Elephas maximus indicus: one gene and its partner. The protein of the gene in region 1 purifies or fractionates together with the protein of each later gene. This does not show direct contact. Links are inferred from orthologs where the notes say so. Each region holds a gene or a part of one and is shown on either strand. Other genes may lie near its edges. The genes, in order: FBXO22 and KDM4B.

What was found.
Region 2: the proteins of FBXO22 (region 1) and KDM4B purify together in Homo sapiens (affinity purification with western blotting; 3 studies listed by BioGRID, with this or other methods). This does not show direct contact. The link is inferred for Elephas maximus indicus from reciprocal best matches to the Homo sapiens genes FBXO22 and KDM4B.

What each region holds. Positions count from the first base shown.
Region 1 is NC_064831.1:67,694,095-67,710,478, forward strand, and holds the start of FBXO22 (F-box only protein 22), read right to left. Parts: upstream 6,461-16,384; 5' UTR 6,399-6,460; coding exon 6,253-6,398; intron 5,879-6,252; coding exon 5,740-5,878; intron 1-5,739. Other genes in the region: UBE2Q2 (ubiquitin-conjugating enzyme E2 Q2), read right to left, coding at 15,420-15,451. UniProt on the Homo sapiens protein: Substrate-recognition component of the SCF (SKP1-CUL1-F-box protein)-type E3 ubiquitin ligase complex that is implicated in the control of various cellular processes such as cell cycle control, transcriptional regulation, DNA damage repair, and apoptosis.
Region 2 is NC_064821.1:8,036,799-8,053,414, forward strand, and holds the start of KDM4B (lysine-specific demethylase 4B), read left to right. Parts: upstream 1-5,024; 5' UTR 5,025-5,146; intron 5,147-16,616. UniProt on the Homo sapiens protein: Histone demethylase that specifically demethylates 'Lys-9' of histone H3, thereby playing a role in histone code. Does not demethylate histone H3 'Lys-4', H3 'Lys-27', H3 'Lys-36' nor H4 'Lys-20'.

The DNA of each region.
Region 1 (16,384 bases):
GAGATGGCATCTCAGTGTAATTCTGACTTGCATTTCTCCAATGGCTAATGATAGCAAGCATCTCTTCGTGTGTCTTTTGGCCACCAGAATGTCTTCTTTCATAAACTGTTCAAATGTTTTTGTTATGTATTTTTACTACAATTAAAAAAAAAAAGCAACCAACATCACAAAACAATTTGTATATAAATTTTTAATGAGAAAATAATCTGTGCTGTAAACTTTCACCTAAATCACAATTAAAAAAAAAAAAATTCCTGGGTATATACTCAGAAGACTCGAAAGTAGAGACTCAAAAAGAAACTTGTATACCAATGTTCATTGCAGCACTGTTCTCAATACCCAAAAGGTAGAAACAACCTAAATGCCCATTAACAGATGAATGGAAAAACAAAATGTAGTACATACACACAATGGAATACTACTTGGCCAGTTAAAAAAGGAGAAGTAAAATCTTGATACATGCTACAGTATGGATACAGCTTGAAGACATTACCCAAAAAAACCAAACCCGTGCTGTCCAGTCAATTCTGAACCATAGCGATCCTACAGGACAGAACAGAACTGCCCCATAGAGTTTCCAAGGAGTGCCTGGTGGATGTGAACTGCTGACCTTCTGGTTAGCAGCCGTAGCACTTAACCACTATGCCCCCAAGGTTTCCATGATATTAGGCTCAGTGAAATAAGCCAATCACAAAAGGGCAAATATTATATGACCTCACTTATTTAAAAAAACAAGAAAAGGCCAATGTATACAGAACAAAGTTTATTAGTAGTTACCAGAGGTGGGAGGGAGAGAGAAAAAGGAGGTGTCATGGATTGAATTGTGTCCCCCCAAAATATCTGTCAACTTGGCTAGGTTATGATTCCCTTGTATGATTGTCTACCATTTTATCTTCTGATGTGATTTCCCTATATATTGTAAATCTTATCACTATGATGTAATGAGACAGACAAGCAGCAATTATACTGATTATAAGGTTATAAGATTAAGTAGGGTCTTAAGCCAATCTCTTCTGAGATAGCAAAGAGAGAGGAGAGCAGAGAGACACGGGGACCTCATACCACCAAGAAAGCAGCATCGGGAGTAGAGAGCATCCTTTGGGCCTGAGGTTCCTGCTCTGAGATGCTCCCAGGCCAAGGGAAGACCAATGACAAAGACCTTCCTTCAGAGTTGACAGAGAGAGAAAGCCTTCCCCTGGGGCCGGCGCCCTGAATTCGGACTTCTAACCTACTGGTCTGTGAGAGAATAAACTTCTCTTTGTTAAAGCCATCCTTTTGTGGTATTTCTGTTATAGCAGCACTAGATGACTTAGACAGGGGTTAACAGTGATAGAAAAATCGTACTGATTAAGGGTAGGGTTGCACAGTCAATTACTGTAACTGCTGTCAATAAGTTGTACACCTGTAAAAAGTTGAACTGGCAAAAGCTATGTGATACATCTACAATGACAAAAAAATAGAGTAACTGCCGAGGCTGCTTATGTATAACCAACCACCTCATGGGACTTGGTTCCTTAGTTTGGGGTTTAGGGTCATGGTTTCTTAGGACATCCCAGTTAAATGGTCTAGTAATATTTTTAGCGCTTCTGCCCTACCTCCTAGTTTGTCATATAGTGCCTAGAGTCTTAAAAACTTGCAAGCAGCCATCCAAGGCACAACAACTGGTCTCTATTCAACTGGAGCAACAGACAAAGAAAGAGTCAGGAATAGGTGAAGGAAGTAGAATATGTGGTTAACTGCCCCTGTGAACAATGGCCTCCTTTGTCATGAGACCATAAAAGCTGGGTAGTGCCCAGTTACCATTACTGAACACTTTAATCAAAGATTACATAGCATAATCCTGATCAAAAGGGGGAAAACACATAAGAGAATTTCAAACCGTCACAGACTCACACTTTGTGGAGCCATGGAGGGTGGATGAACCCCTAAAACTACTGCCCTGAAATAAATCTTTAAACCTTAAACCAAAAATATCCCCTGAAGTCATCTTAAAATTGAACCACAGTTTAGCTTAACTAGTAAAAAAAAGATCCGCCTTAAGCATTATGCTCTTTTAGGAACTATCTATATAGGATGAAATTGACAACAGCAATTCAAAAGATCAGATAGGAATCCTGGGGGCAGTGGGTTTATGTTAATGAGGGAGAAGCAACTCAGAAAAGGAGGGTGGTGGGTAACCAATTTGCTCTGTAAACTTTCACCAAATGTACAATAAAATTTTTTTTTAAAAAAGCAGGCTGAGAATGGTTGCACAACTCGAAGAATATAATCAGCGTCACTAAACTGTACACGTAGAAACTGTTGAATTGGTATATATTTTGCTGTGTATATTCTCAACAACAAAATAAACTTTACAAAAAAAATGAACGGAGGGGGGTAGTTAAAACTTTTTTTTATGGCTATAAAAGTACCATGTCCACTATAGATAATTTTGGAAAACACAAAGAAAACTGCAGGTACGATTTGAGTAGGATTTCTACGTTTTTAATCTCACACAAGCTAGAGTTTACTACAATGTACAGTCTTTTTAAAATGGTATTACTATACGAATTTTAATAATATCAATAATAAAGAATATTTAGTAACACTAATTAAAAATATTACATTCCTGGTACTACAGGTAATGTGTTACATGTATTACCTACTCATGATTTAATTCTTACAAAAACTCTATGTAAGAGTGTAAGGGAAATTACCTTTTTTTTTCCTATTTCATTTTACAGAGCTGAACCTAGGACTCACAGTAATTAAGTAACTTTTTCAAAGTCATACAGCTAGTATGTGCCAAAGCCTAAATTTGGCTACAGCAGCCATTACAATGTGTCAGCCTTTAAAGCTGTATTAAAATACCTGCTGTGATTAAAAATCTGAAAAACAAAACCCCAAAAAGTTTAAAGAAGCACTTAAAAAAAAAAAAACTCTATGCCCAAAGAAAATGTATGTTAGCATTCTCACTTATTTCTTTCCTATTCTTTCCTTTTTGTTCTAAATAATTTCAGATTATACTAAACGTATGATTTTATCATCTATTTTTTCATTTATAAAATCTACATTTCCCCTCATCATTAATGTACCTTGCAATCTGTCACTTAATGACTTTATTAGATAAACATTGGATTGTTATAAATGATGCTCCAAAGAACATCTTTATGGAAAAGTCTTTGCTTAAATTTTTAATTTTTTTAAATGACAAACTCCTAAAAATGGACCAGGCAGACCTGGGTCAAAGTACCAGAACAAAGTTTTCTGCAAGCCTGCCTCTGGATACTGACCAGCTCCCTGACATCTAAGGGCTCTGTTCACACAAGGAAGGACAACAAGACTGGTTACATGCAGGAGATTAGTCTAATATCTAAATATATATTAAGAATCACGGAAGCCAGACTTCTCACTGTCCGGAAGGGAGGTACAAATATGAGTACAGAAAACACTAGAAAGAAATTTTCGTTGGATTAGAACTGGATGTACATTTGTGAACTCATTAATTTACATATATAGAGATAAAGTTGTAAACGTGTATATATGTCACAGATTGAATTGTGTCTCCCAAAAACATGCGTCGACTTGGTTAGGCCAGGATTCCCAGTACTGTGTGGTTGTCCTCTATTTTGTGATTGTAATTTTATGTTAAAAATGATTAGGGTGGGATTGTAATACTATCCTTATCCAGGTCACACCCCTGATCCAATGTAAAGGGAGTTTCCCTGGGGTGTGGCCTGCACCACCTTTTATCTCTCAAGAGACAAAAAGGAAAGGGAAGCAGAGAGGGGGGCTTCACACCACCAGGAAAGCAGCACGGGGAGCAAGGCACATCTTTGGACTTGGGAGCCCTGCACAGAGAAGCTCCTAGTCCAGGGGAAGATTGACGAGAAGGCCGACAGAGAGAGAAAACCTTCCCTTGGAGCTGACACCCTGAATTTGGACTTTTAGCCTACTTTAATGTGAGGAAATAAACTTCTCTTTGTTAAAGCCACCCACTTGTATTTCTGTTACAGCAGCACTAAATGACTAAAACTATATCTATATACACGTTTATACACATGTTTATACACACACGCATGTACACATATACATATATTCCTGTCTGGTCTTTGGAGCAGCAAACCTCTCAACACCAATGAGTGTATCTTGCATCCAGGTTTTGACTTCTAAATACCATTCTCCACTAAAAAATCCAGGACTCCTTGCACAAACTGCTGATTCTAGGACTAAGGCTAGCAAAACTTAGACCATCTCGTGAAAGAATGCAATAAAGTGCTCAAAGATGACAGACTCATCTCTAAAATGTATTGAAGCCAGATGGATGGAACACCCACTAGCCAAACTGGAGACAATTTTGAGCACCAAAATAAATGCTAATAGTAAAGATCATATCCTACTGAATAAAATAGGAGATCAAGAGTATAAACAGATATAAATAAATAAACAGACAAAGTTCTTTCAGGAGCCCTGGTCGCACAGTGGTTAAGTGCTCAGCTGCAGATCTTTCGGTTTAGCTGCTAACTGAAACGTCTGCAGCTCAGACCCACCAGCCTCCACAGGAGAAAGATGCTGCAGTCTGCTTCTGTAAAGATTACAGCCTTGGAAACCTTACAGGGCAGTTCTATTCTGTCCTACAGGGTCGCTAAGAGAAGCTACTAGAACAAAATGGGTTACTTACATAGTTTCAAAGTGTCTCACCCCAAAACACTTATTGCAGTAGAGAGTAATTTTATAGTAGAGACACCTGGAAAACACCATCTTAATCCAGTAATCAAAGATAATTTGCACCAATAATGTGATAAATGGAAATCATATACCAACTGACAGGATGCAAAGAACACAGTAACACTTCTGCGATATTCCTGCCCAAAATGCACAATCTGAATCTAATAACCAGAGTCTTCAGACACACCCACATTGATGGATGTTCTACAAAATAACTGGCCTGTAATTTTCCTAAGTGTCAAGTTTGTAAAAGTCAAGAAAGCCTGAGAAACTGTTCCAGATCAAAGGCGATTATAAAAGCCATTATAAAGGCCATTACTGGGACAACCGGCAAAATTTGACCAGAGTCTAAGAATGATATGGTAGAAATGTATCAATAATAATCTCCATCCTGATGGCTGTATTGTACTTATGTACAATGTTCTTCCTTGTACATAATACATACTAAAGAACGAGGGAGTGACAGAGCATTAGATTGGCAATTTACTCTCAAATGGCTCCCTCCCACTCCCAGGTGAGATACCAGAGCCTCACTCTCACTTGTGCTCAAGCGGCTGCCCCTCTGACTTCACAGTCCAAGTTTTTACACTCCCCTCACTAGACATTGTCTCCTTTTTTGAAACTGAGGCCCAGAGATAGAATACACAAGGGTATTTGATTGGTAGTCGAACTATTTGGGTGTCTTGGCTTTCTGGTTGCCTGACCCGGTGCAAGAGAGTTGCCTTTCCTGCAAAATCGACAGCGATACTTGCTTCAACGGAAGGCGGTGAAGGGAAAGTTCTGCGCACCGTTATTATAATACAGAAAATCTGGATACTCAAAATTTTCCAACATTCAAAGAGTCAAATAAACCATCACGGCACAAATATACAACTGTTAAAACTGATGTTTACAGTCTTTCCCGGCATGAGAAAACGTTTCCTGCATTACAAAAAATAAAGCCATAAACAAAACTGCAATTGGAAAAAAAAACCTTAGTTCCCAAAAGCTGTCCCAACAACCCTACTGTGCACGACACCCCTTCTTACTTGCCTCAAGCTCCTCTGCTAGCACGCGGACCAAGCAGTGCCCCTCCAGATGGCTGGCCTCCGCCGGGACCGCAGAGACCCAGGTCACACTCCGATGGGCCCGCAACACTCTGCGCACGCACTCCCTCCATAAGCGGCATACGCTGGGGACGCAAATGCACAAGAGGTTGCGAACTGACGTTCATTTCCACCTCCTCCGCTGCCGGCAGACCCCCACCCGCAAGTGCAGCAGCCGAAGACCCCTGCCAGCTCCAAAGTTCCCGAGGAAGACAGGTGTCTGGGCGCTAGTTCGGAGGAAGAGCCAGACGCGGGGAACCTTAACGGGAACTTCGCCCCTCAGGGAAAAGTCCCCTCGGGGAGCCCTTCGGTAGGGGTACCAGGCGGGTGGGGGCGTCGCCTCGGGGCAGGGCTGGGGGTCCGGGGCACCCCTGGGTCCCAGTGGTCTCAGCCCACCCCGCCGGCCTGAGCATGCCTGCGGCATGTCCTGAGGCAAGCGTCCCGCCTCCTCTGTCCTCACCCGGCCACCCGCAGCAACGCCTTGGCGGGTAGGAAGGTAAGGACGCGTTCCACCACCTCCGCTAGATTACTCAACACGAAGGTGCTTCGCGGGTCTGCGGAGCAGGAGCTGCGGCAATCGCCGCGGCCGCCGCCCACCAGCTCCATTGCTCCCCAACCCGCCCGTGGCAAGCACTACGGCGGCCTGGAGGGACCTGCTTAGGCTGGCACAGGACCGCCCAGCCGGCGAGCTCTGGGCGGGCGCGCACGTCACTTCCGGCCAGGCAGGGAAGGCGTGGCTGCGGCAAGGCGCCCACGTGAGTCCGGCCGTCAGGTTTCCGGTGTTGGACTTTGTGAGCTAGCTTACTTTGGGAGGTTCCGCCGGAAACCTTCCTGGAGGTCTTTTATGCTGTCGGAGTCAAAATATGTACTGTTCCCTATGTGCCTCTCGCTACACTTGCAGCGTTTAAGTTTTTATTTTCAGTTTTTTGAAGACAAGGACGGGGTAGAATTGGTCTTTACAGTCCCAAAGACTGTTAAATAGCATGTGCCCAATTTTTGGACAGTTTTCAGCTTTAAGTGATTTAGGGTATGAAGACTTGGGCTTGAGTCTATGGCTGCGTTCCTCATTGCCCTTATTCAACACCTTGTGAACTTGGATAAATCACTGTTGTAGCCCTCATGTCCTTAACACATAAAATGGCATAAATGGCACCTGCAGTTCTGAGGCAGCCTGAAAGGTAATGTCTGTGAAAGCGCGCCCCAAACTACACTGGTTCCTCCCCAGCAGCATCAGAGTCACCTGTTTTTAAGTTTTCACGTGTTTCTCAGACCTCACCCCAGGCCTACTGAATCAGAAACTGTGTTTGAAGTACCTCGTCGGTCATTCTAGGAAGCCCTGGTGGCATACTGGTTAAGAGCTACGGCTGATTACCAAAAGGTCACCAGCTGGAATCCACCTAGGTGCTCTTGGAAACTGTATGGGCCATTTCTACTCTGTACAATGGGGTCACTGGGAGTCCAACTTGAGGGCAACCGGTTTGGTTTTTTTTTTTCTTTCTTTCTTTTTTGGTTCGGTCATTCTAAGGAGCCCTGGTGGCATCACGGTTAAAGCCACCCACTGGTAACCTAAAGGTCGCCACTTAAACCACTAGTGGCTCCTCGCAAAAAAAGATGTGGCAGTCGGCTTCTGTAGAGAAACCCTATGGGGTCACTTTGAGTGAAAATGCACTCGAGGAAAGTGGGTTTCGGTCAGTCATTCCGATGCCGGCTCAAGTTGAGAACCATAGATAAAAGGAATCTAAGCACAGTAAGCACTGCCACTTGCCCACCTAACATCTATTACTCCAGCGGCTGCTTTGTTAACATCCCTCATTTGTTCCCCAGTTCTTGAGGATAACCTTCACTGGTCTAAACTAGTGGTTCTCAATTTGACCTCAGCATCCCTTTACACTCTTAAATATTGATACCCACTAAGAACTTCTGTTTATGTGGGTTATTCTATCAATATTTACCATACTAAAAATTAAAATATATCTTAAATTCATTACACATTAGGAAAACAATTTTATGAAAAATAACCATTTCCACAACTCACAAATAGTGAATAGTGTGGTATCACTTCATATTCTTCTAATTTCTGGATAATGGAAAATAGCTGGATTCTCATCTGCTTCTGAACTCAATCTTTTGCAATATCACGGCATGTTCTTGCTAGTTGCCATGGAGTCGATTCTGAATCATGGTAACCCTATTGTGTTACAGAGAACTCCATTGGGTTTTTAAGGCTGTGACCTTTCTGAAGTCAATTGCCAGGCCTGTCTTCTGAGATGCCTCTGGATGGATTTGAACTGCCAACCTGTCAGCTAGTAGTCCAGCACATAACCATTTGCACCACCCAGAGACTTCTCATCACAGTTATGCAGTCTGGAAAACTACACTGCACATTTGTGAAAGAATGGGAGTGAAAAAGGCAAATAATGGTTTAGGTTATGAAAATCGATTTGGCTTTTGCACACCCCCTGAAAATGTCTCCCAGTGATTCCCAAATCATACTTTGAGAACCAATGATCCAAACTAATCATAATGGTCTCACATTCTTTTTCACCAGCCATTGGTTTAGGGGTTGACACAGGCCCCAGTTCTAGCCAAGAAGTGAGGGGCAGTGTGCTTGATGAGGTGGGACTTTTAAAGATTTCCACACCTTCTAAAGAGATACTGAAAGAGGACTATTGTCTATCTATGGACTTAGTAAGGCACACCCAAACATGACATTCAATCCAAGGATGAATCAACATGGAAAAATCTCAAAGGAGGAGAACACAGCCTACGTACACCATGCCTGGAGTCCTGTCTCTGGACTTTAACTGTGGTGAAAATATACACACCACAACATTCACCAATACAACTTACATATTTACAATAAATGACAATGATTACATTTTTTCATGTTGTGCCACTGTTACCACTGTCCTTTTCCAAAATACTCTACCACCATTAAGATAAATTCGATGACCTCCACAAACAAAAAACTCTCCCTTCTCCCCTCCCTTCCACACCTGGTTACCATTAGTAATCTTTGGTTTCTAGGTATTTATTTCATATAAATGAGATCATCCCCCACGTGTCTGTCAGTTTGTTGTACTGTGGGGCTTGTGTGTTGCTGTGATACAGGAAACTATGCCACCGGTATTCAGATACCAGCAGGGTCACCCATGGAGGACAGATTTCAGATGAGCTTCCAGACTAAGACAGACTAGGAAGAAGGACCCAGCAGTCTACTTCCGAAAAGCATTAGCCAGTAAAAACCTTATGAATAGCAGCAGAACATAGTCTGATATGGTGCTGGAAGATAAGCCCCCCAGGTTGGAAGGCACTCAAAAGATGACTGGGGAAGAGCTGCCTCCTCAAAGTAGAGTCAACCTTAATGACATAGATGGAGTAAAGCTTTTGGGACCTTCATTTGCTGATGTGGCACGACTCAAAATAAGAAACACCTGCAAACATCCATTAATAATCAGAACCTGGAATGTACAAAGTATGAATCTAGGAGAATTGGAAATCGTCAAAAATGAAATGGAACACATAAACATCGATATCCTAGGCATTAGTGAACTGAAATGGACTGGTATTGGCCATTTTGAATCAGACAATCATATAGTCTACTATGCTGGGAATGACAACTCGAAGAGGAATGGTGTTGCAATCATCGTCAAAAAGAATGTTTCAAGATCTGTCCTGAAGTACAACGCTATCAGTGATAGGATAATATCCATATGCCTAGAAGGAAGACCAGTTAATACGAATATTATTCAAATTTACGCACCAACCACTAGGGCCAAAGATGAAGAAATAGATTTTTATCAGCTGCTGCAGTCTGAAATGGATCGAACATGCAAGCAAGATGCATTGGTAATTACTGGCGATTGGAATGCAAAAGTTGGAAACAAAGCAGAAGGATCAGTAGTTAGAAAATATGGCCTTGGTGACAGAAACAATGCCGGAGATCGAATGATAGAATTTTGCAAGACCAATGACTTCTTCATTGCAAATACCTTCTTTCACCAACATAAACGGCGACTGTACACATGGACCTCGCCAGACGGAACACACAGAAATCAAACTGACTACATCTATGGAAACAGACGATGAAAAAGCTCAATATCATTAGTCAGAACAAGGCCAGGGGCTGACTATGGAACAGACCACCAATTGCTCATATGCAAGTTCAAGCTGAAACTGAAGAAAATCAGAGCAAGTCCACGAGAGCCAAAATATGACCTTGAGTATATCCTACCTGAATTTAGAGACCATCTCAAGAATAGATTTGATGCACGAACACTAGTGACCGAAAACCAGACGAGTTGTGGAATGACATCAAGGACATCATCCATGAAGAAAGCAAGAGGTCAGTGAAAAGACAGGAAAGGAAAAAAAAACCAAGGTGGATGTCAGAGGAGACTCTGAAACTTGCTATTAAGTGTCGAGCACCTAAAGCAAAAGGAAGAACTCATGAAGTAAAAGAACTGAACAGAAGATTTCAAAGGGCCTCTCGAGAAGACAAAATCAAGTATTATAATGACATGTGCAAAGAGCTGGAGATGGAAAACCAAAAGGGAAGAACACACTCGGCGTTTCTCAAGCTGAAAGAACTGAAGAAAATATTCAAGTCTCGAGTTGCAATACTGAAGGATTCCATGGGGAAAATATTAAATGACGCAGGAAGCATCAAGATGGAAGGAATACACAGAGTCATTATACCAAAAAGAATTAGTCGATTTTCAACCATTTCAAGAGGTGGCATATGATCAGGAACTGATGGTACTGAAGGAAGAAGTCCAAGCTGCTCTGAAGGCATTGGCGAAAAACAAGGCTCCAGGAATTGATGGAATATCCATTGAGATGTTTCAACAAACAGATACAGTGCTGGAGGTGCTCACTCGTCTATGCCAAGAAATATGGAAGACAGCTTCCTGGCCAACTGACTGGAAGAGATCCATGTTTATGCCTATTCCCAAGAAAGGTGATCCAACCAAATGTGGAAATTATAGAACAATATCATTAATATGACATGCAAGCAAAATTCTGCTGAAGATCATTCAAAAACGGCTGTAGCAGTATATCGACAGGGAACTGCCAGAAATTCAGGCCGGTTTCAGAAGAGGACGTGGAACCAGGGGTATCATTGCTGATGTCAGATGGATCCTGGCTGAAAGCAGAGAATACCAGAAGGATGCTTACCTGTGTTTCATTGATTATGCAAAGGCATTTGACTGTGTGGATCATAACAAATTATGGATAACACTGCGAAGAATGGGAATTCCAGAACACTTAATTGTGCTCATGAGGAAACTTTACATAGATCAAGAGGCAGTTGTTCGGACAGAGCAAGGGAATACTGATTGGTTTAAAGTCAGGAAAGGTGTGCATCAGGGTTGTATTCTTTCACTATACCTATTTAATCTGTATGCTGAACAAATAATACGAGAAGCTGGACTATACGAAGAATGGGGCATCAGGATTGGAGAAGACTCGTTAACAACCTGCGTTATGCAGATGACACAACCTTGCTTGCTGAAAGTGAAGAGGACTTGAACCACTTACTAATGAAGATCAAAGACCACAGCCTTCAGTATGGATTACACCTCAACATAAAGAAAACAAAAATCCTCACAACTGGACCAATAAGCAACATCATGATAAACGGAGAAAAGACTGAAGTTGTCAAGGATTTCATTTTACTTGGATCCACAATCAACAGCCATGGAAGCAGCAGTCAAGAAATCAAAAGATGCATTGCATTGGGCAAATCTGCTGCAAAGGACCACTTCAAAGTGTTGAAGAGCAAAGATGTCACCCTGAAGACTAAGGTGCGCTTGACCCAAGCCATGGTATAATGCATGTGAAAGCTGGACAATGAATAAGGAAGACCAAAGAAGAGTTGATGCCTTTGAATTGTGGTGTTGGCGAAGAAGATTGAATATACCATGGACTGCCAAAAGAACGAACAAATCTGTCTTAGAAGAAGTACTACCAGAATGTTCCTTGGTAGCAAGGATGGCGAGACTGTGTCTTACATACTTTGGACATGTTGTCAGGAGAGATCAGTCCCTGAAGACGGACATCATGCTTGGCAGAGTACAGGGTCAGTGGGAAAGAGGAAGACCCTCAACGAGGTGGACTGACACAGTTGTTGCAACAATGAGCTCAAGCATGATTGTAAAGATGGCGTAGGACCGGGTAGTGCTTCATTCTGTTGTTCATAGGGGTGCTATGAGTCGGAACCGACTGGACGGCACCTACCAAACGAGATCATATAGTATTTGTCCTTTTGTGACTGACTTATTTCAATTAGCGTAATGCCTTCCAGGTTCATCTGTGCTTCATTCTCTTTACAGCTGCTTTATGTTCCATTGTACGGACATACCACATTTTGTTTATCCATTCATCTGCTGATACACATTCCAGGTGCCACCTTTCGGCTACTGTGAAAAGTGCTGCAGTGAACATTGGTGTACAGATTTCTGTTTGTTCCTGCTTTCACTTCTTCTGGGTATATATACCTAGGATTGGGATTGTGGGTCATGTGGTAGTTCTATGTTTAACTTTTTGAGGAACCGTCAAACTGTCAAAGGGGCTGCACCATCTTACATTGCCACCAGCAATGGATGATGATTCGCTTCTCCACAACCTCACCAACACCTGTTGTTTCCTGTTTGCCTTTTTTTTTTAATAACTGCCATTATTAAGGAACTCTGGTGGCACAGTGGTTAAAGTGATCAACTGCTAACGGAAAGGGTGGCAGTTCAAAACCACCAGCAACTTCTGTGGGAGAAAGATGTGACAGTCTGCATCTGTAGATATTTACAGCCTTGGAAACCCTACGGGGTCACTATGAGTCAGAATTGAGTCAATGGTAGTGGGTTTATTGGAATGGCTAATGAACATCTTAAATACCCTCTTTGAAGAGCTGCCTGTTCAAGCCCTTTGTCCATTTCTTTTATTGGGTTCTTTTAATGTTGTTATAGAAGTTTTATATATTTTTTGGATATTAGGCCCTTGTCTGATACATGGTTCTCATCAATTTACTCCCAATCTGTACTGTCTTTTCATTTTGTTGATAAAATCCTTTGATGTACCAAAAGTACTGAATTTTTATGAGATCCCATTCATCTATTTTGTCTTTTGCTGCTTGAGCTTTAGTTACCATATCCTCTGGACTTTTTGTATGTGACATGACCTGATAACTGTATGCTAAGGAGGCCGAGGATATGCTAAAGTGGGGAACAAAGGACAGTCACTTAAATTTATATTTAAGAATGAATGTGGGCAAGGGGGAAAGGCTGAGGAAAACCCAAGTATACCAAGTCCATACACACTATTTCTGGATTCTCTAGTTTCTTCTTCTTAAGTCAATCTGCCTCTCTTCCTCTCAAGCCTCTTATGATGGTTAAGGTTATGTGTCCACTTGGCTAGGCTGTGAGCCTCAGTGGTTTGGCAGATATTACGTAATCATCCTCCATCTTGTGATCTGATGTGAGCAGCCATTCAGTTCAAAGGGGCGTTTCCTTGGGGGTGTGGCCTGCATCCAATATATAGATGTTCTGGCAAAGCTTGACCTCTCTGGATCCTGTATCCAACTCATCATCCTCTGACCTCCAGTTCTTGGGACATGATCCAGCAGACTGCCTTCCAACCTGCAGATTTTGGGACTTGCCAGCTCCTGCAGCCCCGAGCCAGCAGCCTGCCGTCTGACCTGCCAATTTTGTGATCATTAGCTTCTGCAACCACATGAGTCAGGAGAAGCCTCCAGCCTGACGCCTGACCCATGGATTTCGGACTTGCCAGCCTCCACAATTGTGTGAGCCATTTCCTTGTAATAAATTAATCCCAATCTCTCTCTATCCACATAAATATACATATATATACACACACATACAATTCACTTGTTTAGCTCCTGTAGAGAACTCTGTCTAGGAAACCTTTCCTCACCCAAACCCACCTTAAATGGTCCTATTCCAGAAACTCAATAGAGCCTATGGACTCCTGAAGCAAAGAGTATGTCTTATGAGGGAAAAATGACAAAATAATTTTTTAAATGGTTCTTTATTCATAAACTTGATGCAAGTTTACAAAATTTACTGTACATTGCCAAATAAATCTGCAATGAAAAATAAAATCCAAAAAAAAAACAAAGCATGCCAAATGTGCAGCCGTCAATCTGCTAGCCATCAGTATATTAAAGAATTCAATAATGTATTCAAGATTTAGCCTTAGGTTTAAGGAACTTTAATGCTTTAAAGAGTTCTGCCTTGTCACTTCTTATCTGAGCAAAACTGGCTATCAGAACTTTATACAAATTTAACCAAGTGAACCAGAAAGCCAGAAAATCTTTATCTACTGTCCTCTTAACCAAAATAGAATCAAAAGAAATAAAACACACACAACTAATACAGAAGTGCCAAGTCTCTCTGATGAGGTTCACAAAGTTAAAACCTGAATCTCAGAGCAAATGTGTAAGAAAGGCTTCTCAACTTTGTAACTGGTTTGTGCAGAAAAATGTGCTTCTGGAGTTCATTTTTAAAAGTGCTTATTAACATCTAAAATTTACTTTTAAATCAAACGTGGGTGTACAAAAAATCCATTACCAACCAAACAGGACTGATTCAGGTAAGGCAATAAAATGGAGAGCACACTGATTTGAGTCAGGTTTCATAAAGGAATTGACATATGTAGAGTTCCTTTTAGTCTCTCAACGTAAAAGCCATATGTTATGACTATGGCAACAAATTTTAAGAGTTTCCAAATTAGATATTATCTTTTTGGATTTAACTGTGCAGCCTTTGCTCAAGGAATCTTTGTGCCAATCATTTTATTAGTTTACAAATGATTGCAACATCCCGTTAATAAAATGGAAACGTAAAACGACTTAGTATTTTAAATAATTTCAAGCTCTATACTGTAGCTCTTCTCTTAAAGAATACTGAACCAACAAGAAGCAAATTCAGCCCAGTAAGACTCTTGATGCCCCAGTGGAAATTACTACTTAAATGCCTTCATTGGCACAGCCTTGCTTTGCTTTACTTAAAAAGTACAACCCAATTAAGCGTATATCAACAACAAAGAGTTCATATTTTCACACAGCCATAAAAAAGTTTAACAATTTAATGAGTAGGTTTCCTGTCATTATTTTGGCAATATCATAAAATGGTTTTAGACCTGAAAAAACTACTGTGATTTAGAAGACCTTAAATTTTCTAAACCAGTATTAAACAACAATTAAACTTTTATTGGCTCGAGATGAAACAATGTATTGCAAGTCATCAAAATCCGTAGGCTCAACACAGGAAAATTACCCAAGATGCGTCACAACTTCAGTAACCTGATGCTGACTTGCCTGCTTCGAAGCTTTCACTTATCAAGAAAAAGAGATGATAAGAAGTGGCCAGTATATGTATTTATCAGGAAAAATACAGTAAAGGCCCCACTGCTCAGTCTGAGATACCTAAGATGAGCAAGATGAAAAGGCTGTAACTTATACTGGATGTCAGCTGACAGATTATCCACTAAAATATCTATTAGCTAACGTCTTCGGTACTGCTGTTATAGGGGCACTCAAAGCTCGTGTCTGCATGTTGGGAAGATTTTCTTTAAAGCAACATTGGTCCAAACATACAGCAATCAACACTTTTAGCCATCTTCCTTTGGAGGGGTGTACCACCCTAAAATAGAGAAAAACAGAATATTTTAATTCTTAAACCAGCTAGAAGAACTGGCATTTATTAAGGTTGGCTACATTCTCTACTCATAATTTTGAAGTTTAAACCTACTACAAAAATTAAACTTATACTTGGGTTGGTAACAGCATTTTGATAAGTTCACAATTTCAAGCTATTTTCTATGAATAAACTGTATATGAGTTTTGAACTTATGATCTCTATATTAATGCCATTCCTAGCTAGAGACAACACTGGAATATTAGACTATGAGCTAGGTTTTATTCCATTTCAGTTTGGTATTTGAAAGTAAACCTCCTAAAATTACGTATGTGTATGTGTGTGTATGTGTGTTTTTAATGTAAGCCCACAAAATAACTATCCTACAAATAAAATCCTGGCATTTTAGAATAAGAAGAATTTGGATTGTTGTTCAGTGCAAAGATGTCATTTCAACAATGAGGAGGCCATCTTATCAGATGCAGTGACTAAGTACCTATGTCTAAGATCAGAGTTAGTAGCAGAAGCCAAACTAGAATCCATCTCTCCTTACTCTATTGCTCTTTCCACCATAGATAAGCTTACACACATCCGTACATTCTCAAATACAGCACTTTCCATAAACATTTTTGAACAGTAATTGTAATGTTTGCTTTAATTAAAAATAAATAAGGGAAAGATAAGAAAAAGTGTTTCCCAGTCTCAAGACTAACTACTATTTGGTACAAAGTCACCATTCGAGCAGTATGAATACACCAAGATGTGTGGAATATCCTCATGGTTATGAAGTAGTGCACAGGCTTCTTTGGCTACTAATTTAGTGTGCTAAAAACAGTAATTATTATGAAAACCCAGCCTTATGCTCAAGTTTTATCATTTCCTTCTTCTGCTTCAAAATTCTATTTGAATACTGTTCTCTTCCTCAAGTAGCAGTCGCTG
Region 2 (16,616 bases), on another chromosome or scaffold:
CACAGAGTTTTCAGTGGCTGTTTGCAAAAGTAGACTTTCAGGCCTTTCTTCCGAGGAACCTCTGGGTAGACTTGAACTTCCAACCTTTTGGTTAGCAGCTGAGTGCATTAGCCATTTACGTCACCTGGGGACTGAGGGACTCCAGGAGATTTTGGTCCTTCCCCTTTCCCTTAACAGTTTTGAGCAAGGGTCGGCAAACTACAGCCCAAAAGGCCAAATTTGTTCCACTGCCCATATGCTCCACGCTGGGTTCTGGGCCCGTATTTTGTAAGTAAAGCTTTATTGGCACACAGCCATGCTCATTTATTTACGTATTGTTTATGGCTGCTTCCTGCTGTAACCAGCAGTGTTGAGTAGTTGTGACAGAAACCGTCTGGCCCACAAAGTTAAATGTATTTACTCTGTGGCCCTTTACAGACATAGGCTGCTGACCCCTGCTCTTTCCAGCAGCGCGGTCCAGTAGAACTTTCTTCAATGATGGAGAAATTCATGGAGCCACATGTAGCTGGCAGCTTCCGTATTGGCTGGTGCGGTTCTGGCGAATGGGGTGTATAATGTCTAGAGTGAAAACTGCCAGCTCTTAGGAAAAGCAAAAGCCTCTAACTTTGCAAAATGGGGCATGTGGAACTTTCTAGAATCGTACTGTCGGCCAATCTGTTTCTAGTGATTCAGAGTCTTTCTTCCCACTTTTTTTTTTTTAATTAAGTATTTGTGAAACTTACGCAGAAGTAATCACAATATCGAGCATATTTATTTCCTGAGTTTTTTTTTTTTTTTTTATAATAACTTTTATTAAGCTTCAAGTGAACGTTTACAAATCCAATCAGTCTGTCACATATAAGTTTACATACATCTCACTCCCTACTCCCACTTACTCTCCCCGTCTTGAGTCAGCCCTGAGTTTTTTTTTTTTTAATAACAGCCTTATTGAGATGTAATTCACGTACCATGTAATTGACCCATTTAAAGCATACACTTCAATGGCTTTTAGTAAATTCGCAAGGTTGTGCAGTCATCATCGATCCCTGATCCAGAACACTCTCATCCCCTTTAGAAACCCTGTACCCGTCAGCAGTCCCTCCCCACACCCTCGTACCCCCAGCTTCTGGGAACCGCTCATCTTTGTCTCTGCGGATTTGCCTGGTTTGGACACTTCATATCAGTGGAATCATACAGTATGTGGCCTTTTGAGCCTGGCTTCTTTTGCTTGACATAATGTTTTCAAGGTTGCTCCGTGTTGTAGCGTGTATCAGTGCTTCATTAGTTTTCATGACTAAATAATATCACATCGTATGGCTGCTGTTTCTGCTGGGTGCAGTTGAGTAGATTTCAAGTCACAGCCACTGCACGTGGTAGAGTAGAACTGCCCCATAGGGTTTCCTGGGCTTGATCTTTACAGGAGCAGATCGCCAGGTCTTTTCTCCCGCAGAGCTGCTGGGTGGGTTTGAACCGCTATCCTTTTGGTTAGTAGTCAAGCGTTTAACCGTCATGCCACCAAGGCTCCTATTGTATGGGTGTTCCACATTTTATTCTCTTGGTTGACTCTTTAATGTAAATTTTTTTTCCTTCCCTCCACCTCTCCCAGGTTACCAAATGAATGCATGTTCCTTTTAGAAAACTTGGAAACTGAATATGTGAAGGAAAAAGTCAAAACACACAATCCTGCCACCCAGAGGGTTAACATTTTGATGTACCTTTGTTCAGGTTTTATTGTATATGAGTCAGTGTTTGTTAGGTACCTATGATGCGGCGGCCATTTTGCAGATGAGGAAACTGAGGCACAGAGGGGTTAAGTGGTTTGCCTAAGGATGTGGCAAAGCCAAAGTCCGTATTATTTCCATGTACTTGTTTTATATATTTAGATTCGAAGGACTAAATGAGGGTGGGACTATATATGCCACTTTGGGCCCTGTTTTCTTCTGAATACAATGTTTAAGTAGCCACATTGTCTAGCACCATTGCAAACAGACGTGACCTGTGGTCTTGGTGGATGCATACTTGCATATATCTGTGTGTCAGTGTGGAACATAATACCCACGTGTGTCTAGCAAAGTTTGCTTGGAGTCAGATGGAATGTTAGAATTTCTCCCCCAATGTATTTTTTAACACATGAGAAAATGTATCTTTTCAGCCATCCTTATTTCTTATGTAGTGGACCTACCCTTAAGCAGGAGGGGAAACTTGGTACAGCACTAGATGTTTCTTGGCTCCATGTTTTGCCTGTCTGGTCAGGTGAAGGATGAGGCGGGGTCATGAGCTGGGCTCTGGCTCTGCTGACCAAGGGGCCCTTGGGGGTCAAAGATGAGTGCCACAGAGGCTCCTGGCTTGGAGAGATCCCCAATCACAATGCCCTGCCCGTGGAGACCAGAAAAAGCAGGACGTTTAGGTGAGTTTCCCCCCGCCCCCCCGCTTTCCCCAAGTTAATTTGTCCATTTAAAAATTCTGAGTGTCCTTCCTACTTTTGTATGTTGTTAACTGCCGTTGAGTCGGCCCCCAACCCATGGCAACCATCCCTTTTTATAGATGCCTGAAATGACAGGGACTATAGTTTTTTCCTTTTCAATATGCAAGTTTTCAAACAAGTTGAAAGAAGTGTATAGTGAGCACTCATATACCCACTATCTATACTCTACAATTGTTAATATTGTTTATCACATAACGGTGGTTGTGAGCTGCCATCAAATTGGCCCTAACTCATGGCAACTCAACGCATGACAGGATGAAATGCGGCCGGGTCCTGCGCCATCATATTATACCTATTGCCTTCGAGTAGATTCTGACTCAGTGACCCTACAGGACAGAGTAGAACTCCATAGAGTTCCCAAGGATCGGCTGGTGGATTTGAACTGCCATCCTTCTGGGTAGCAGCCATTTAGCTCTTAACCACTGTGCCGCCAGGACTCCCTGCCGTCATATTAGATGCTGTTAAAAAATGTCTCCCTAAACAAAATCAGAAAGTTGACAAGCTATTTTGGTCTCCCAATTAAAAAAAAAAAAAATACAATTTGAGAGTCTGTGAAATCCAAACATGTGGAATTCAGTGTCTTAATGGATAAACTTAGAAGTAGAAAAAAAAGGCTTGTATGGGGGAAAATCCATTATTGTACTTTTGATCATGACTGCATTCCATTTCTGCCTTCCCCGTTGGATAGGGGGTTCCTTGAAGGTACCCACTATTTCCTGTTTTTAAAATTAAATTTTTTAACTATATGGGGACTATGTGAACATGGTCCCATAAGAATTTAAAACATCAGAGAACAGATTCGAGTCCCCTCTGACTACCTCTTTTTACCAATTTGGAACTCTTTCCCTTCTCCCCAAAGGTTAAATTACTCTGTGCATTTACACCCTTGAACTCTGAGAAGCCACATGATATTGGTTCATGTGTATTTGTTTCCATGAAATGTATCTTGTTGAATACAAAAAATCTGGGTATTTCTGCAGCTTGCTCAACAACATGCCTAGGAGTTTACTCCATGACACTACATAGAGGTCTGCCTAGTTTTCAATTGCTACATAGTTAAGTATTTGAGTAAGGTATGTCACAAATTGTTTACTTCAGCCCCACTGATGGATATTTAGAGGAGAACACTGGAAACAGTTGCAAACAGGGCTGTGCAGCAAACTTTCTCTGGAGGAAGAACCCTGGGTTGTCCTTGCCATCAAGTTGGCTACAACTTACGGCCACCTTGTGTACAGCAGAACAAAATGTTGCCTGATCCTGCACCATCTATCTCCCTGATCATTGGTATGTTTCAGTCCATTGTTGCGGCCATTGTGTCAATCCATCTCCTTGAGGGTTTTCTTCATTTTTGCTGACCCTCTGCTTTACCAACCATGGATGTCCTAGAGGCTGATCTTTGCAGATGACGTGTCCAAAGTAAGCGAGCCAAAGTCTCACCATTCTGCTTTCTAAGGAGCATTCTGGTTGTATTTCGTCTGACTTGTTTGTTCTTTGAAACTTAAACTGTTATAAGAAAATGTCAAATGATCCAGAGTGGCTGTACTGAGTTATACTCCTGTATAGAAATGGGTGACCACACCCTTGCCTGGCCCAACTCACAGTTAACAACATTGTTATTACTACTACTAATTTCAATTCAATGCTTACTACGTACAGCCACAGGGTCAAACCCTTTACCTGGGTCATCACACGTAATCCTGGCAACTTTCCCAGGAGGGGGGCGACAGGCCACACTACCGTCAAATCCATTTCACAGAGCAAACTGAGGCCCACTCACAACGAGGGGTGGGGCCCAGGTCTGAAAGCACCAAATTTATCACCTCCCATAATTTTTTTTTTTTTAGGGAACTCGGGAAGGGGATCTAACTTTATTCCAACCACCTAGCCTTTTGCAGAGGTTTGTTCATTGTGAGGGAAACGAGCCTGCCGGGGTTGGGGCGGGGGGTGTTCGCTTGCTTCACTTCCTTATTTCTCAGTTCCCCTTTGCAAAATAGGTTCGTTGGTACTTCGCAAATTGCAGCCCAATATTCCGGCTGCGGGTCTCGAACCCTCCACTCCGCGCTTCCCCGGCTCGGTGCTGATGTTGTGCGGGGTCTCACGTACTCAGCGGCCGCCTGATAACCAGGGCGACTTGGCAGTGATTGGCACCTGCCCCAGACAATCCGCGCCTCGGGCTGACCCCGCAGCCAATGCTCGCTTCTCCCGTGCGGCCGTTGGGCGGTCCTCGAGGCGGCCTTGTCAATCTGAGGCTTGCCTGCCGTCGGACTGGTCCCAATCTCCTTGGCTGGCGGGCGCCGCCTCCAATGAGAGCCTTGCCGGTCAGCAGGCACGTGGGTGGGCGCCGGCGTGTCCCTGCCGACCGACCAATGGGGACGCGATTCCGGCAGCTGCGCCCGCCCAATGGAGGTCCGCGGCGGGTGGGCCGTGCGTTGTTGATGGGCCCGGCGGAGGGGAGGGGCGGAGCTGTCAGCGGCAGCCAATGGGCGCGCGGGCGTGGGTTGGCGGACCAATGGCAGCCGGGGCGGTGCTGACGCTCGGCCTCATAAGCCCCGCCCGGGGCGCTCCGGAGGGCTCGGCCGCCAGCGACCGAGCGGGGCCCGGCCCGAGCGGGGCCTGGGGGTGCGACGCCGAGGGCGGGGAGCGCGCGCTGAGCTCCGCACCGGGTCGCACGCGCCGCCTCAGGTGAGCCCGCGGGGAGGCCTCCGCGCCGGCCGAGTGAGCGAGCGCGGGCCCGTCGCCGCCTTCGCCCCGCGCCGCGGCCCGGGGCTGCGGGCGCGCCCGGCACTCGAGGCCCAGGCCTCGGGCGCGGCCTGCTCGGGCCCGGCCGCCGCGCTTTGTCCCGGCCCGCGGGGCCGTTGGGGGCGTTAACTGCCCGGGCCAGGGGGGCCGGCCGGGGCTGCGGCGGGGGCGGCGGGCCGCACAATGGCCGGGCGCGCGGGGCGGGGGCGCCCCTTCCCGGCCGGGGCGCGGGGGGCTGGGCACAAAAGATGACAGCGTGGGTGGCCCGGCCCGGCCCTGCGCGGGCCCTCCCCCTTTAGGATTTAGAACGATCCCACTCATAATAAAAAAACCCACCCAGGCCATGGTACGACCCGCCTGCGCTTCCAGCCCCCTTGGACACCAGTGGGATTAATGGGGGCGCTTCCCGGCCTCGACACCCAGGGGCATCCCCCAAAATCCATCGGTGCCCCCCAGCCCCTCCGCAAGACAACCTGTCGTGTCATCCCAGCTTCCAAACTTGCCCCCCCACCGCCGTCTCCGTGAGCCTTCCCTCCCCTCCCCCTAATAACCATGCAATCTGGAGTCAAAAAAATGTGTCTCCTCGCTGTGCAATAGCAGCAGCTCCAAGACGTGTCCCCCGGTCCCTCCCCCTCGCAGCCCGATCGCCATCTCGGAGCCCCTGCTCTGTAGAAAGAAATCAATCCAGGAGTTGGTCTTGGCGGCGACCCCTTTGGCTGTCCCATCCGTCGACGCGGGGGCGAGGGGATGGATTCGTGCTGAAATGGATTTGCCCTGTGTCTACCTGGGCTGGGGTTTGCTCGCGCTCAGGGGGCGCCCGATGACATAAGTTAGGAACATAAGGACTAGCGGGGTGCATGTCCACCTGGGCAGGGTAGAAGGTTTTGTAGGGGTTTTTTCAAACCTGAGAGAGAGGCAGAAGGTGAGGACTGTTTTTGGTGTGTTCCATCTGTTTGGTTGGGGCGGCGGGGTGCTTTTGTTTTAACAATTCAGGTGCACCTGGGAACTGTTTCCTGAGTTATGAAACTAGTGGGAAGGTGGTTCTGCTCAGTGGAGCTGAACGATCCTGTAACATGTAAAGAGTGTGCTGTTCCATGTGTTTCTGTCAATATTGGGTCAGTGAGCGTGTTTGGGACCCACTGGGTACCAGCAGTGTCTCAGGTTCTGAGGTCATTGTTCTGTGCGTGGAGTGGATTTGCACTCATGGTGACCCCATGTGACAGAGCAGAACTGCCCCACAGGGTTTTGTAGGCCCTAATCTTTACGGAAGTAGATTGCCAGATCTTTCTCTTGCGGAGTCGTTGAGTAGGTTTGAGCTACCAACCTTTTGGTTAGCAGCCAAGCTCATAACCCTTTTCGCCACCACGGCTTCTGGTTCTGAGGCTGTTGTATAGTGCTGCCAAGTCCGTTCCAACTCGTAGTGACCTCACGTGATCGAGTGCAGCTGCTCCATGGGGTTTCCTAGGCTGTAATTTTTATAGAACCAGATCTCCACATCGTCTGCAGAGCTGCTGGGTGGATTTGAACCACCAACCTCTTGGTTAGCAGCCAAGCTCTTAACTGTTTGTGCCATCAAGGCTCGAGGTTCTGAGGATACTGGGGTGCACTTAAGAGGCTGGTGCCTTGCCCTACCCCTGTGCCTCAACAGCCATTTATCCGATGATCCCCAGGCGGAAAAAGCTCCTAAAACAGCAGCAGCCTTAAAACCTGCTCATTAGATGACTCCTATGGGCTTTTATCACGGCCATGCGAGAGCTAATGAATCCCTTAATTCTCAAATAATAGCTTCCTTATGAGGCATCGCGAGAGTTTGTCAATAGACCGGTCAGCTCTTTTGCACCACCCCTCCAGAAGCAGTGGGCAGCTTCCTAGCAGTTTGCTTTTTGAAATCCCGAAGGACAGAGCGTCACAGCTGGAAGTCAACTTTTGAGTCTGAGTAGAGAATTTCTAAAACTCGCTGTCCCTTTTTGAGTTGTTGATTGGACACATGGCCAATACCGGGCTGCCCACTCTATACGTCTGCAATACGCCGAAGGTCAATGTGTTCTGCTCTGCTGGAGGTCACCTCTGGGGAGGAACGGGGCGCTGGGGGTGCGGTCGCATAAATGCCCCATCGTGTCACGGGTGCTCTGATGGAAGGGTGTACTGTGTCAGCTGTGTGGGTGCACACGTGTCGTGTGTAGTCGTTAATACTTGAATATACGCAGGTCTAAGCCACCGTTGATCTTCATGTATTTTCTAATCCTTTCCTCCTTGGGAAGTGGGCTGCTAAGGAGATGTTAAATACTGGAGCTTAAAGGTAGAACGGATCACTTGGTCACTGTTCCACCCCACCCCCCTTGTTGTTCTTCTCTGTCCAGTGGAAAAGACCCTGCCACAGTGCCTGCTCCTTCCTCAGCTCCATCCCATCCTGAATGAGCCCTCTAGGGCGGCCAGGGGCCTCACAACCTGCTTGCCCCTGCCTGTACTCGGATTTCTAATTTCTCTGCCTCCTTTGCCTGCTCTGTGCCCTGTCTCCTCCCCCGGATGGGTCCAATAGATACTTGGCCTTGGGGAGACTGTCTATCCCTTGGTGCCATCTCACACCTGTGAGAATGGACGTTGGCGTCACTCACCTACCTGGCCTGAGGATGTTGGGAGGGCGTGTTCCCAACCTCCAGGGGCTTCAGGGCTAGTGGGGGAGAGGGAGAGGTGGGTACCCTGGAGTGTGGTCCCAGCAGTAATGGCTGTGGAGCGTCCACTGTCCCCAGGGGCCCAGCTTAGGGAGTGGACGGGTCGAGGTGGCGGGTGGGGAGGGGCCAAACCAGGAACAGGTGGCATTTCTGGGTGGCTTTCTTCCTGTGATCCGGAAGCGTGCTGCGTGGGTTCAGAGCTGTGGGCCACGCAGACCCTCCGTGGTCACCGCCATGATGGGAAGGCCTGGGTTATCTCTTTCTTTCTCATGCCGACCCAGATCCTGGGGGGAGCTGGAGAGTGGGGCTGGGGGTGGGGGAGGGGTGGAGCTGAACTCAGGCTTGGTTCTGACCTGGCATTCCTCGCCCACCCTGGCGTTTCTGCCTGCTCTCCACTCCTTGCCACAGACTCCAGAGTCTCGGAGACCTGGGTTCGGATCTCTCCTGTGGGCCTCACTTTCCTCATCTATGAAATGGGTGTAAGGCCAGCATCTCCCTCATAGGTTGTCATGAGGATCTAAGGCTATAAAAGTCATGAAGTTCTTGCAGGGTGCCTGCCTCCTGGTGAATGGTGGCCATACCAGAGTGCTGAACCCTGGGGCAATTTAGTGCTGCGGCCTCCTAGCCGCCTCCACGGGGTTTCCCAGGGGATCCTTCTCTGCGGTGGGGATGTCCTGAACACTGTAGGGCGTTGAGCAACATCCCTGGTTTCCACCCACTCCATGCCTGTAGCACCCGCCTTCTGAGTCGTGACAACCACAGATTTCTCCACGCACTGCCCCAAGTGAGAACCACGAATTTACGCCTTTAACCCTGCGGCAGCCTGATAATTTGTCGCATCCCCAGTCTCAAACTTCTCAGATTCCTTCGCTCGCCGCCCCCCCCATCCCCTGCCGGCTCCCCAGCCTTCAGTTGCTATTAGTTGCGTTCTGGTTGGTGTGAAACATCACCGGTCCTTGTTTGTTTGTAGTTGCCCAGTGGATTCTGCTCATGGACCCGTGTGCTGCAGAGTAGAACTGATACATAGGGTTTTCCTAGCTGAATTTTGTTTTGTTGAAGTTTTATTTACTTTGCTGTTGTTGAGAATATACACACCAAAACACACCAGTTCAACTGTTTTTCCATGTACAATTTAATGACAGTGATCACATTCTTCAAGTTGCACAACCATTCTCACCCTCTTTTTCCCAGTTGTTCCTCCCTCATTAACATGAACTCACTGCCCCCCTGAGTTTCCTGTCTCATCTCTGGAGTTGCTGCTGTCAATTTGATCCCATAGAGATAGTTCTTAAAAGAGCGTAACGCTCAAGGCAGACCTTTTTTTTTTTATTAGTTAAGCTAAACTGTTGTTCCGTTTTAAGATGATTTTAGGAGATATTTTTGGTTTAAGGTTTAAAGGTTATCTCAGGACAGTAGTTTCAGGGCGACATCCACCCTCCATGGCTTCAGAAAGTCTATAGAGTCCATGCGCATTGGGAATTTTGTTCAGCATTTTCCCCCTTTTGATCAGGATTCTTCTATGGAATCTTTGATCAAAATGTTAGTAATGTAGCCTGGCGCTGCCCACTTCCAGTCTCAGGGCACTGAATTCTTAACAGAAGCAGGTGTGACAGACCTTTCTTCCGTGGTACTGCTGGGTGGGTTCGAATCGCCTGCTTTTCAGTTAGCAGTCAAGTGCAAACTGTTTGGATCACCTCGGGGTCCTTCAGGAGCCCTGGCGGTGCAATGGTTAAGCACTTCCTTCTCAGAAGAGAAGACCTGGTGATCTGCTGCTGTGAGGATTACAGTCCAGGACACCCTATGGGACAGTGCTGTGTAGCATAAAGTTGCTGGGAGTTGGAATGGACTCGGTGGCAAGCGGTAACAGCAACAACAGCAGGGGCCATTCAGTAGCGAGTGGGTCATATTTGCGACTTGGCCTGGCTTTCCAGTCTCTTCCCAGTGGTCCCTCTGCCCTTCCCAACCTGCAGCTTCCACCCCAGCGGGGAGAGGGGCAGGCCTGTGGGAGAGCCTGTGCCTACCCTGACGTCCACCCGGCCAAGGGACAGTGGGCGCGGGGGGCTTCCCCGGCTGTTCTCAGCCGCCTCACCCCGCGGGCCCCCTGCCAGGCTCCTCTGGCTTCCCTGAGGCAGCACTTCCTCTTCCTCCCGATCCCTAGAAAACCAGTGTTGGTGGAGCTGACTGTGACTCACGCAGCCCCATGTGTGTCGGAGTAGAACTATGGTCCACGGGGTTTTCAAAAGCTGCGTTTTTGGACTTCAATCAGCAGGCCTTTCTCCCAGGATGCCTCTGGGTGGGCTCAGACCACCAACCTTTTGGTTAGCAGCCGAGTGCGTTCGCCATTTGTACCACCCAGTGACCCCCTCAGTCCCTGTACTCTTGTCTTATCGATCGGCTTAACGGTTTTCTTTGCATTGGCTTCAAGGTGTTTACTTGTTAGTCTCAGCCTCTCGCTGAGCGGTGATTCCGTGAGTCGTGCGACTGTTACTGTGCTTGTGGCAGATCCTTCTACTGATGCACGTTAAGATGAACTTAGAGATATTAAATATTTTAAGAAAGAAGTTGCTATCACCTCAAATACTGAGGCCTGAGCTCATCCATGAATTGATTTTTTGTGTGTGTGAAGAACCGGTTTTTGAGTTGGAGTTGAGTCCCCGCTGGACTTGGCCTGTTCTGGGATCTGCTTGTTGGTTAGATAAGGTGTCCCAGCTAGTCTGGCTGTTTTCACTCCTGCTGCCTCAAAAATGGCCTGCCCTGCTCAGAACCTTCCCATGGCTTCCTGTTGCCCTTGGAGAAAATTCAGACGCCGTCTGTGGCCTGCTTGCTCTGTCCTTCGTGGCCCTCTCCTCTCTTCTTTACCTACTACTTCTCCCAAGGGTGCTCCTTGCCAGCCATAACCACCTTCTGACCTGCCTGCCCTTTCTTGCATCAGGGCCTTTGCACATGCTGTTCCTTCTCGCAGAATGCTCTTCCCTCAGGCCACTATCCAGCCGGCTCCTTGTCATTCAGGTCTCAGCTTGGAGGCCTTTCTTGACCACACTTTCAAAAGTAGCCCCTCGGAGGGGAGATGAGAGGGTAGAGGGGGTTAGAAGCTGGCGAAAAGGACACGAAAAGAGAGAGTGGAAGGAGAGACCAGGCTGTCTCATCGGGGGGAGAGTAGTTGGGAGTGTGTAGCAAGGTGTATATGGGTTTTTGTGTGAGAGACTGACTTAATTTGTAAACTTAAACCATGATAAAAATTATTAAAAAAAATAAAAAAGAATAATGAACTGTGAGAAAAAAAAAAAAGTAGCCCCTCCAATCACCATCTCCCCCAGTTCTGCTTTTTCTTTTTCCGCACTTAACATTGCCAGAAGGTATATTAGCCTGGTTCTGTATTTATTGTCTGTCTTATCTACTCCAGGAGACTTTTCTGTAAAGGTCTAGAGAGTAGTGTTATCATTTTGGCTTTGCAGGCCAGATGGCCTTTGACCTGACTCCTGCCTCTGTGTTGTGATGTGAAAGCAGCCACAGACAACACGTAAATGAGTGGACATGCCTGGTGCCAATAAAACTTTATTCATGGATGCTCAAATCTGAATTTCATATAGTTTCACACACCATGAAATATTTCTGTGCTTTTGATTTCCCCCCTCAACCATTTAAGAACGTCAAAACCATTTTTAGCTTGTGGGCTGTACAAAAACAGGCGGCTGGCCAGATCTGGCCCATGGGCCGGAGTTTGCTAACCCCTGCACTAGGGTGTAAGGTCCACAATACAGAAACGACACCTGCGTTGGTTGCTGTCTGTACACCCAGTGCCGAGGGCAGTTCTTGGCACGTAGTGGGTGTTCAGGAAAATGTTTGCTGGCTGCATGGGTGAATTTCCCTCTTTCCCACTCCAGAGCATTTAGGGTAATACTGTGTGCTTTAGAAAACAGGCCAGGGCTGTTGACCTTTCATTTTACCTGTATGTTTACTTATGTCTTAAACTTGGTTGTTCTTGTTCCTCAAAGGCAAGGGTCTTTGTGTTTTTTCCCACTGATATACCCCGAGTGCCTTTATCAGTGCCCGGCATATAGTAGGTACTCAATAAGTATTTGTTGAATGAATAATTGCTCTTAGTGTACTAAAAAGGTATAAAAAAGTTGCTTTTGGAACAATAAGGAAACACTAGTTTAAAAAAAAAGCCTTGAGTTGTGTTGAGGGAAATTAAAACTGCAGAGAATGTACGAGAATGCTGTTACCACATCTACCAAAACACCCTCATAGTAAAGGAGGAAAGAAATAGACATAAATGAGGAAATGTATTTTGCCGTTTGGGATGTCCTATTTTTCATTGCCTTTGGGTTCACGCTGCCCCTTTCTGCCTCTCTCTGCTGAGCATCGGAAGACCCGTGAGGTGTACGTGTGACCCGTGGAGTCTCTTTTGACCTGGCAGTGGCAGAGCGCTTAGAAGGAAGAAAATATTTCACAACCACTTGGTTTTGTAAGCCTCTGTTATGAATTGAATTGTGTTTCCCCAAAATATGTGCTGTAAATCCTAGCTTCTGTGCTAGGATTTATATATAACCAGATTAATATGCCTTCTGTCAGTATTAAGTGCAAGATAGACCTAAGTGTTAAAAGGCAAAAATGTCACTTTGAGGACTAAGGTGCGCCTGACCCAAGCCATGGTGTTTTCAGTCGCCTCATATGCATGTGAAAGCTGGACGATGAATAAGGAAGACTGAAGAAGAGTTGATGTCTTTGAATTACCGTGCTGGTGAAGAATATCAGATATACCATGGACTGCCAAAGAATGAACAAATCTGTCGTGGAAAAAGTACAGCCAGAGTGCTCCTTAGAAGGAAGGATGGCGAGACTTCCTCTCACATACTTTGGACGTGTTATCAGGAGGGCCCAGTCCCTGGAGAAGGACATCATCCTTGGTAAGGTAGAGGGTCAGCGGAAAAGAGGAAGACCCTCAACGAGATGGATTCACACAGTGGCTGCAGCAATGGGCTCAAACATAGTAGGACTGTGAGGATGGCACAGGACCTGGCAGTGTTTTGTTCTGTTGTACATGGGGTCGCTTTGAGTCCAAACCGACTCTGTGGCACCTAACAACAGAACAGCAATGACCCTGGTTCTAGTCCCATTTGGGAGTGGGTTGTCTTTGTTATGTTAATGAGACAGGATTAGCACAGGATGTATCATGAGTCAGTCTCTTTTGAGATATAAAAAAGACTAAAAAGTCTAGAGAAGCAGAAAGGGGGTAAGACAGATGCCAAGCCACACATAGAGGAACCAGGAAACAAAAGCTGAAGAGGCAAGGACCTTCTTCCAGAGCCTACAGAGACAGAAAGCCTTCCCTTGGAGCCGCTGCCTTGAATTTGGACTTCGAGCCTCCTAAACTGTGAGAGAATGAGTTTCTGTTTGTTAAAGCAAGCCACTGATGGTGTTTTTGTTGTAGCAGAGCTAGATAACTAAGACGGTGTCTGAACCATCCTCTACCAATACCAGTGCTCCTGCTGAAAGTAGTGTTGTCATTCCGGAAAACTCCGTGGCTGGCTGACTCCTAACGTCTCTACAGGACAGAGTAGAACTGTCCCATAAGGTTTCAAAGGAGTGACTGGTGGATTTGAACTACCAACATTTTTGCTTAGCTGTCGTAGCTCGCTGCCGTGCTTAACCGCTGCACCATTGGGGCTCTGCGGTCATCCCAGGAGGTGGCTTTTGCAGTCTCCTAGTCACCTGCAGGAGTCCCTGGGTGGTGCAAACGGTTAAGCGCTTGACTACTAGCCGATAGGTGGGTGGTTCAAACTCACCCAAAGGCACCTTAGAAGACAGGCCTGGCAGTCTGCTTCTGAAAGGTCACAGCTTTGAAAACCCTATGGAGCAGTTCTACTTGACACACATGGGGTCGCCAGAAGTCAGAGTTGACTTAGTAGCAACTAACCATAACACAAGCCGTCTGCACAGGAACACTCACGAGAGAAGTCGCTTTCGTGGGTGCTAAGATTCAGCTGTGGGGTTGAGCGGAATGACGGACAGCCACGCTGGACGTGGAGGAACTGTGCACACAGCCTGTAGCTCGCCTTGCTCCTCCACCGTGGCTTTCCCGAATAAAGACTGCCTGGCGAGTGTTTTCCAAGCCACGTATCCCGCTAGGAGGTGTCTAGGGTGTCTCTGAGATGTGGTGCCGACTCAGGAATGTTCCTACTTGTCCAGAAAGCATACCATTCATTTATGGTTTTCTTTTTTTGATTGAAATAAACAATCTGGAGAAGGTTGCTCAGTATTTCTTGGCTTTCAAAAGTTGTGTCTTTTTTTTTTTTTTTCTCTTTTTTCCCCTTCACTTGCTTACTTGTCTTCTTTCTTGCTTCCCTGTATTCTTTCTCTTGACTTCTTGCTCTCTCGCCTTTCTTTCCTTTTATTAAGCCATCCCGGTGATGTCTGTGAACAGGAGAGGGTTGATTAAAAGCTCCTGTTAAGCTGTCTTTATCAGATGCTGCCATTTCTGTCTGGTCCCTCCTTGCCCCACGGGCAGGGGCCGTGCCTTCGAGCAGTGGTTGTTGTTGTTAGGTGCTGTCAAATCGATTTTGAATTCACTGTGACCTTGTGTGACGGTAGGACCGTCCCATAGCGTTTTAGTGGCTGTAATTTTTACGGGAGCAGGTTGCCAGGTCTTTCTCCTGCAGAGCTTCTGGTGGGTTCGAACAACTGACCTTTCGGTTAGCAGCTGAGTACTTAATGACTGTGCCACCAGGGCTCCTTACTTGGCAGCGGCAGGAGCACACAGTTGTTCTGTAACTCTGGGTTGTGGTTATCGGATAGATGGCTCAAGTACGTTTGTTCAGTGGACAAAGAATAAGAGTCAGAAAGCAAACGGCCTATGGCTGCTGCGCCCCCAGTGGACCTCTGGGTACGGAGTTGAACTATAACTAACTTAGGCCTTAGCAGCGAGCCTGGATGGCGAGCTGTAAACGTGACACGTCGGCGTCGCAGTCAGGGCTTGCCCTCATCACATGCCCTTTCTGTGTTTGCAGTGGGACCCGCAGGTGGCGGCCTCTGGGTAGGTGGGGGTGGAGGTGGGCCCCCACTCTCGTTGTCATGCCGGGCCCAGTGTGGAAACCTGGCACCTGAGGTGTCTCGGGGGAGAGACTGGAGAGAAACGAGTCGTGTGAGAGGAGGTAGCCGGCGATTCAGAGCTGCACTTTGTGAGAGAAGTAGGCAGCCGTGGACCCACACGTCTCCCTCAACGGAAGAGCTGGCCTGATGCTGCCAGCAAGTGTGGGGGAACTCCTGGTGACCCCCGATCTACAAACGGGGTAGAGTTTGGAAGTAGTTTTTGTGGGAAATGAGAGCCACTGGAAGGAGCCCTGGTGGCGCAGTGGTTAAGCACTCAGCTGCCAACTAAAAGGTTGGCACTTTGAACCCATGAGCCACTGCGCAGAAGACTTGTTGGTCTGCTCCCGTAAAGGTTACAGCCTTGGAAACCCTATCGGGGTCCCTATGAGTCAGACTTGACTCGATGGCAGTGGGTTTGGTTTTTTGGAAGGCTCTTGTTGTTAGGTGCGATTGAGTTGTGACGGCTCCATTTGAAAGAGTAGAATTGCCCCATAGGGTTTCCTGGGCTGTAGTGTTTATGGGAGCAGATCTCCAGAGCTTTCTCCCTTGGAGCTGCCGAGTGGGTTCGAACTGTCAGCCTTCTGGTCAGCAGCCGAGTGTTTAACCACATAAACAGGGAGTAAACGGGCCGTATCCTCCACCGGAGCTCGGGACTCCGACATCTCTGGGGCGCAGGCAGTGTGGTCTCCACTCAGGACCGCCCTTGACCAGCTAGCGTGTGGTCACCTGAGCAAAGGAGGGGGCCGGGTGGCCATGTGCCCTGGGATGAGTGTGGGACCCGGCGGGGCTTCTGGGCCCGGGAGAGTCATGGTGTTTGGCTGCTGGGCCCTCCGAGGCTGCTGCCTTCTTCAGCATCTCGCTCTCTTCACACTTCTCTTCTAAGACCTCCTCCATCAGAAGGGCCTGCCCTTGCGGTGTGGGCGTCCTAGCTGAGCGTTGTCGGCCGCGTGGATCTGATTATCGTGGTCACGAGTCAAGAGAGAATTGCTCCGTCCCCAGCTTGCACATGAGTAAAGCCACTGGAATTTAAAATCTCCAGCCTCTGCTTTGCTGCCGTCTAAGGAAGAGTAGGGAGCAGGTAGAGGAAACTACTTTTTCAGGATATAAGGTGTTTCGGTTTACGACCCCTCCGGGCTGGAGTTTATGAGAGCCATGGGATTTTCTCATGGCCAGCCCTCCTTGTACCAGGTTTGTGGCAAAGGCAGAGCAAACCCCAGTTCTGAGCGAGAGACTCAGAGGACTTTGTTATCAGAGGCACTAGCTCCTCTTGGCATGTCCTGTCTCCTCTGCCTAGTCCCTTTAATGGGCAGCCGATGGACAGGGCCTCCGCTCCTCGTGTGAGTGCCGTGCTCTGTGTCTGGTATGGTCCTACACGATCTAACAGTGCCGGTGCCGAGGGTCCTAGTCAGTTCAGGTGATGCTTCGTTGGGACGAAGTGTCCCAGGGAGCTTGGGCAGAGTGGCCTCAAGTGATGCATCATGCGAGCTCTGCAAACACTAAAGCCACCTCCGTGGTGTGCACTCCTGTCCTCTGTCTTCCTTGAGGCAAAGCTATAGCTCCTGGAGCTGCAGAAGTCAGTTCTTGGCCTTGCAGTGAGTGGCTTATCTTTGTGATTCATCCCTGGCTGTCACGTTAAAGTCTATGTCCAG